2 linked regions of the Cricetulus griseus genome follow. The protein of the gene in region 2 interacts with the protein of the main gene of each other region in a pairwise test. Links are inferred from orthologs where the notes say so. Each region holds a gene or a part of one and is shown on either strand. Other genes may lie near its edges.

Region 1 (3,099 bases), on a different chromosome or scaffold from region 2:
TCTTGCCTGGGCCTTCCCTATACCTGTACTCAAGATGAGAAGGTTGTGGGCTCAGTGATAATGGTGGATTGACGAGTCTGTCTGCCCATGTATGCACACTCCTTCCCTCAACCAGAGATCTTTCAGTGCAAGCCTTTGATATGGGAAAGCAAAACATTCACTCCAGAGCTTTAGGCAACTCTCTCCAGCCAAAACCCATTATCCTAACCCCTACCTAAAAAGGCCAGACAGCCTGGAGACCCTTGTTTTTGTGTCTCTAATCACCAGCTCAGACAGTGCCCTCTGGGCTGTTTGGATGGCACATCCCTATCCCTCCCAGGATCACTCTCTCTTTTGTTGCATTGTGAGAAAATTATGGCTAGGAATTTGATCTGGAGCCAGTGTCAGCTTCCGGGGGTGATCTCAGCATCCAAGTGTGAGCTTAGGATGCTGAGACGATGGGCACATTTCACAGTGGAAATTGCTCCCTGTGACCTTCCAATCCGTTCGCGGTTCGGTCTTCCAGGCCACAGAACAGGAGCAGCACAAACAAGGCCCCGAGGATTGGGTTTATTCAGCTCCACCCAGAACTAAATCAAAGGCTAGGATACATCAAGGGACCAAACCATACACTGTGGACCAGGCATCTATCCTTTCCCCCCCTGAGGACGCTGCTACCTCTGGGGTGGTGGACTTCTGGAATCACCGTGGGATGTAGACAGGGGATTCACTGGGTGCTGGGTCTACCGCGGGCAGTCAGGACTCAACTCTGGCTACCTCTTCCTCTTCCTCTGGGTCAGGAGGCGCAGGGAGCAGGGAGATGTAGACCTCATTGACTTCCGTGTCCAAATGCCGGCCACCCCGAGGCGCCTCTAAGTTAAGGATACCATCATGGGAGAGGGCAGCTCGGACCCGCCAGGGGTCTACATCTGCTGGCAGGACATAGGTGCGACAGAACTCTCGGGACACGAAGCCATGGCGGTCCAGACGCTGGGGGTGCCGGGCCGACACCTCCAGCAGGTTGTCCACAGTTCTCACGGTCACCTCGTCTGGGGTAAAGTGGCTCACATCCAGAAATGCCTGGAACTTGCCTTCGCTGAGCCTGAGCTCTGAAGCCCCTGCCCTACTGCCCTCCCCAGCTCTGGAGGCCCGAGGCCGGACATAGTAGCCATGGTAGAGGGTGGGGGTCAGGATCTCTTCTGGCAGGAGGCCTGGGTGGGCAGAGAGAAAGAGAAGGCAAGAGGCAGGATGAAGGATGAATGCAGTGTGCACAGGGCTGAAAGGCAACATCAGGAGACATGGGCCTGGGAAGAGCAGGTGGGGAAGCTGCTGAAGGGGAGCTGGGAAAGGAAATGAAATGGCAATGGAGGAAGCAAGCAGGGATTGGGAAGACAGAAGCGGAACTAGAAGGTATTCAGCAGGCAAGGACTGGAGCCCTGCGGGTCTAAAGTCCTGTCCTAAAGTCTGTAGCAAGAACAGAGCCTTGCTTGAGGCGGGAGTCAGGGGTGGGAGATGGCTCACCCCAGGAGTTCACTTAAGCCCCAGGTAGGGAGGAGGCCAGTGAAACTGGGCCAGGAGCCCAGAATTTCAGGAGGTGGGGGTGGGCAGCATCTAGGCCATACCTTCTCCGAAGCGCTGCTCACCCAGGCGGCTGGGGTTGGCAAATTCATACTCTGCCGTGGCTGGGTGGGCATGTGGCACTGTGCGGCCCGACATGACTCTGGTTGCGACTGGCAGCCCTGATCCCAAGCGCAGCCCCAACAAGATCGACGCGACCCCTTCAGCTGGAGGGAGAGCCAGGACTCAGTCAGAGTGGGGGCGGGGTCTACACCACCCAAAATAGTGCAAAGCCTCTGGGGGAGGGCCTGGAGCCTGGGCCCAAGAGTGTGGCGATGAGGGTGTGACCAGCACAGCCTGGACCCCCCAAGTCCCCTCCTCTGCACACTCTTCAGCTGTCGCAGAAGCCTGGATGGACAGCTGAGGGTCCTGGTACTGGAGCGAGTTGAGAAAAGGAATTGGTGCACTGTTGGAGAACAAAGGAAGGTCTTCTCAAATTGTACATTTCCGTATCACTGTCCGTTTGTCTTCTCAAATTGTACAGTTTTACATCACCGTTTGTCCTTCTCAACCGTAGGCACCATGCACACTACTTTAAAAAAAATTAAATGTTTCATGAGCTATATAGCATCAAAGATGCAAGAAGCATTTTCTATCTCTAATTTCAGGGTATTCTGAACCCAGGTCAACACAGGGTTCTAGCCAGATATCTGGTACTGACATATTGGTGGTCAAGGGCTGCTCTCCTCAAGGGCACCACAAAGAGTTAATGTCCCTGGGGCCCAGCCTAGGAAGATTCCAGTCCCTGCCCAGGCTCAAGATAGTTGCTGGCTCAACTCCCCTGGCATGCAAGACTGGAGAGGAGGAGGGGCATGCCACCAGCTGCTTGGGATTCTTGACTCTGTCCTAGCTCCAGAGAACAAGGATGGGGGGTGGGTGCCACTGGGTGTGGACAGAGAGCTAGTGAAACAAGACCATGACAAGTCACTGGCCAGCTCAGCCCTGTTTGTGTTTCTCTTTTCTTAGCTCAGTGAGTACTGGGTATGTGTCACCCTGCCAAATCCCTGATCACAAGTCTCCATGAACTGGCGGTGAGCTGGGATAATAAAACCCCTGACATCACCATTCCAGAAGCTTCACAAGACTGCATATATAAGGGGCTGGCTGTAGCTGCAGCTGAAGGAGTTGACCAGCCAACTGTCCCTAGATTCATCGAGCCACCATGGACATCGCCATCCACCACCCCTGGATCCGTCGTCCCTTCTTCCCTTTCCACTCCCCCAGCCGTCTCTTTGACCAGTTCTTCGGAGAGCACCTGTTGGAGTCTGACCTCTTCTCAACTGCCACTTCTCTGAGCCCCTTCTACCTTCGGCCACCCTCCTTCCTTCGGGCACCCAGCTGGATTGACACTGGACTCTCAGAGGTGAGTCTCCCCTATGTCCTTCCTGAACTTCCCGGACACGTCTTCATTTGTTTTCCTTTTTGCCCCTGCCTAAGTCATGTCAGACATGTGAGTGTGCAAAGGTACAGAGAAATGGGGTTGCTGTTTCCTTCTCCTTGGGT
Region 2 (4,235 bases):
GGCCGAAAGGGGGGCAGCAGAGGGAGGGAAACGAGGGAGAAGCCCGAGCGTAAGATTTGGGTGCTCGGTCAGGTCCCCTCAGAGACTCGTTTAATGTCTTGAGCCTTAGCATCAAAAGCCAGCGGTGTCCAGCACAGGCGGCGAGAGGACTGCACGTGGTTAGCACTGAGTGTGGGACCTGGAGGGGCGGGGGTGGCACAGCCCACCAGCATCCTGGACACTGGAGGCCTGCTCGGCCTCCAAAGGGGGCGGGAGAGCCTTCCTGAGCCAGCAGGCGAGGGCAGCCAGGTCAGGGCTGGCGCCTCGGAGGCAGGGGGCAGAGGGAGGCCAGGCCTCCCTTGGGTTAGCAGTCAGGACTGGGAATAATATGGAATAATATGGAGGTCCTGGAGAAGACAGGGGCTCGAGGAAAGGGCCGCCAGAGAAGACACAGCCAGGGCCAAGGCTGGGGTGGGGGGAGGAGAGAGCCAAAGCATTGAGCCCTTTTAAGGCAGCGGGAACCCAGGCCCCCTCCCCCGCCCGGGCCTGGCAGGGGAGGGGCCCACGGGATGCTGCTCAGGCCACAAAAGGACTGCTCCTTCCTAGAGGGCCAGACCCCCCACCCCCACCCCAGCTCTCAGTTTACCCTGCCCGCCCAGCCCCATCCTCTGCAAAAGGAAGGTTGGAAGAGTCACTGAGGGCTGCAGAGGAGAAAGGTCCCCCCAAAGCCTTAGTGGCCTAGCCCATGGCCTCCACCTTTCCATCTGTGAAATGGGGGAAGAGGGGACAGTGAGCAGGACATACAGGCCGAGGACCAAGGACCAAGAATGGGGGACCCTCAATGACAGGCACAGAGCAACAACACAGTTGTTATTTTTGAGGAAGCTGGGGTTAGCCCAAGCTTTGGCTGCATGTGGGCCCGGGGCAGGTAAGGTCCAGGCCCACCCACTAGGCCTCAGAAGACCTTTGGAGAAGGGCATTGAAGTCAGCAGGGGAGCTAGAGGCCTTGAGCTAGGACCATGAAAGCAGGTAGGAAGCCAAATGGGATCCCCAAAGCTGGGCCACACGGTCTAGGAGGGACCAAGATGCTACGGAAGGGCATGCTCAGAAGCTTGTTCCTCCTTAATTTGGGGGGACAGAGGGGTGCTGGGTGGCGCCTGTCTGCCGGCCTCTGTGAGTCACGATGCCCTCACAGCTCCTGGACACCTGTCAGGGCAGCTGGGGAGGCAGACGCCAAACACCTGCCCACGGGCCGCACCCTGGCAGCTGCCCCACGCTGCCCTCCCCACTCAGAGAAACCAGGGAGGGCTGCAAAGCTCCTTTTGGAGGGTGAGGGTCCTAGAAGGGGAAAGCTGCCAGGCCCGTGTGGGTGCTGAGAAGGCAGCAGGCTGTGCCCACCCCAGCCTGCACTGGCTGAGTCATGGCTGGCCTCCACTGACCCCAGTCTGCCCCACCAGGGGAGCTTGGGATCAAGGCCTCAACTCTGCTGGGGTCCCCACAGACCTCTCCAGGCCCTCCTGCTCCTCCACAGCCAATCCCTGCCCTGTAGAGCCACCTCGGCCTTCCCCCCACCCCAGGCCTCCTGGCCATACTCACCCCACTGCAAGAAGTCGGCTACATACTTGTCTTGGGCTAGGTGGGAGGCACCCAGCTCCTGGTGGACGCCCAGGAGAAGGTCGAGCAGGGGCTCCAGCCCCAGGAAGCCGGGGTCCAGCACCAGCTGCTGGAGCTGCCTCAGCCGCACCTCGGCTGACATGTTGGGCAGGCAGCACCATGGCCCCTCCCCGGGCCGGAGCTCGGGGGTCTTCCTGTCACGGGGCCTGAATGCCCCTGTCCAGGCCCCAGAACCCTGGCTGCATGTCTGCCTGTCCCTGACTATCCCTTGGGTCCCTCTGGCCAGTTCTATGGCTGAGGCCTCCTCCTCTTTTCCCCACCCCTTGGCCCAGCCCCCCTCCCGCCTCCCAGCTTTAACCCCTCCTGAGCCAACACCCCAACTCTCTTCTTTCAGGGCCCCCCAAAACTCTTCAATGCCCAATGTCAAGGGGCAGAGTAGTACTCCAGAGACACCCGAAGCCCCTACCCATAAGAGGGTGGGGCACAGGGAGTTACAGGTGAGGTCAGTGTTCAGACAAGCCAGTCTAAGCTCAGAGCTGGGAGGGGTGGGGAAAGGGGCCGATGCCTGGGCTGGGGGGGGGGGCAGAGGCCAGGGGCAGCGTCTTCGTGACTCAGCAATGGATTCCGACTTTGGGACAGTTAAATTTAGTCCCTGTGCCTGCTGTATTACACGCCCCCCCTTTTTTGGCAGGAGGTGGAAGGGAGATCAGGAGGGAACTTATCCAGCCGCCAGGGCCAGGGGTGACCTGCTGGCCCAAGCCTGGGGGAGGCAAGCGGTGGAGCCAGGCCCTCCCCAAGTGAGAGAGACCCCGAAATAGCTTCTTGGCCACAGGCCGGAGCAGCCACATTCCTGCCTGGGCTAGGATTAGAGACAGAAACATTTTGGGGGTTGGGGGCGGAGCCACCTGGACAGCCAGCCAGGAGACATGTTAGCGTCTTTCTAGGGTGGCCAGTTCTCTGGGGAGGAAATCACGGCCTCCAGCTGGCACTGCATGGGCCAGGGGCACCAGGGTGCAAAGCGTGTCAAGAAGAGGAGGTGCGGCTCAATTCCAGGCAGTGTCCACTCCTCCCAGAAGAGCACACTTGGATAGAACTGACACTTCAAAATAAGTTTCAAACACCCCCCACCCCCATCCCAAGGTAGCAAGAAGGGGCCACCTCAGGCTCTTGACTCTGGGGGTCCAGGGGGCTCTGCTCAGGGCTAAGGGTGGGTGCGGGGATTGGCCTTCCTTTGGTGAGAACACAGCCCCCCCCCCCCCCCCCACACACACACACATACACATGCCCCAGGGAACAGAGACGCTGTGCAAACAAGGACTTTAGTATAAATAAAAGGTCCAGGGGGAACAAGGAGGGCCCCGTGGGCCTCCATAATTTAACACTCTTCAAAAGCACAAATCATAGCAAGGGGTGGGGTGTGGGCTTGGAGGGGACACCCCCTGCAGCCCTCTCACCCAGGGGCACAGTGGAGCTGGGCTGCTGTGGGCGGAGTCTCCCAGGAGTGACCAGTCACATGCTGGGACAGGGATGTGGGTTAACACTGGTATTTCAGAGGACAGGTCATTGTACTTGGCAGTGGGTGGGGCCAGGGCTGAGGCCACACAGGCCGCTCCATCCCCATGGCTGGGCCAGTCTGTGCAGGGTGGGGGCTTGCAGAGCCCTTCATCACGATTAGTCTTGTTACTACAGTGGTCCTTGAGGTCTGCAGGGGGGTTATGGCTAGGAGGCTGGGACATGGGACATCCGAGCTTCACACCACAGTGCCACTGGGGGAGTTGCCTGGTTGGGAGGAGATACCCTGAGGAGGATGAGAGGGAGGTCGGATTAGACAACACCTGGGCTTCTGCCAGTGCTGGGGTGGGGAGGGGCACCCGAAGGCTTCTGGACCCCCAGTCCCACAGCTGTCGTCCCGGCGAGGTCCCTGCCCCAGGATGGCACTTTGACAGTAATGAATGGCCCCAGGTGATCCCGGGCAGGCAGATGGGGATGGTTGAGAGGAAAGAGAATCTGGGGTCCACTTGCAGCTTGGAGGTTGGTCCTACCTCTACCACTGACTTGCTGGGTGACCTGGGCCAACTTGCTTCCCCTGTCTGGGCCTCGTTCTCCTCGTCTGTAAACTAGGGAGACAGAGGGGCATCTTTTAGAGCTCACACATCCCAAGCCCTACCACCCTGCCTTTGCTCTGAGCTCTAAGGCTTCTTTCTGGACTCAAACCTTCCACAGCAAGGATCCCGGACGCAGAGCCCACATGCTAAAGAAAAAGACAGCCCAGCCCTGTCCTGACCAGTGCCAGGCCTTCAGCTCACTGACTAAGACCACAGCCACCACACAGCCCATCTGCAAAGCACAGTGACCAGGACCACACACCAAGCAGAAATGTGGGCCTGGGCCTGGGCCCTGGCGATTCCCATCCGGGCCTTTAGCAGCTGGCTCAGAAATGGAGTGTCTAAGAGGCAGCCAGAAGCCAGGCCCTCGGCTCAATCTTATCCCTGGACTGTCAGCCCCAAAACAAAGCTCACCAATTAAAATGCGTATTTCCCATGAAAACAGGTCTGCCTTGAGTGTGAAGTGCTCAGGGTGGGCCACACAGGTCACCAGAGGCCCTTTGGATGGTTGGCTGTGGGCCCCACCATTCCATCCCC

What was found.
Region 1: the proteins of myotonin-protein kinase (region 2) and Hspb2 interact in a two-hybrid assay, tested with the Homo sapiens proteins (2 studies listed by BioGRID). The link is inferred for Cricetulus griseus from reciprocal best matches to the Homo sapiens genes DMPK and HSPB2.

What each region holds. Positions count from the first base shown.
Region 1 is NC_048597.1:162,524,317-162,527,415, forward strand, and holds Hspb2 (heat shock protein beta-2), read right to left. Parts: upstream 1,696-3,099; coding exon 1,602-1,695; intron 1,191-1,601; coding exon 736-1,190; 3' UTR 588-735; downstream 1-587. Other genes in the region: Cryab (alpha-crystallin B chain), read left to right, coding at 2,759-2,959. UniProt on the Homo sapiens protein: May regulate the kinase DMPK.
Region 2 is NC_048602.1:28,280,870-28,285,104, forward strand, and holds the start of myotonin-protein kinase, read right to left. Parts: upstream 2,858-4,235; 5' UTR 1,736-2,857; coding exon 1,576-1,735; intron 1-1,575. Other genes in the region: dystrophia myotonica WD repeat-containing protein, read right to left, coding at 3,344-3,391, 3,636-3,710. UniProt on the Homo sapiens protein: Non-receptor serine/threonine protein kinase which is necessary for the maintenance of skeletal muscle structure and function.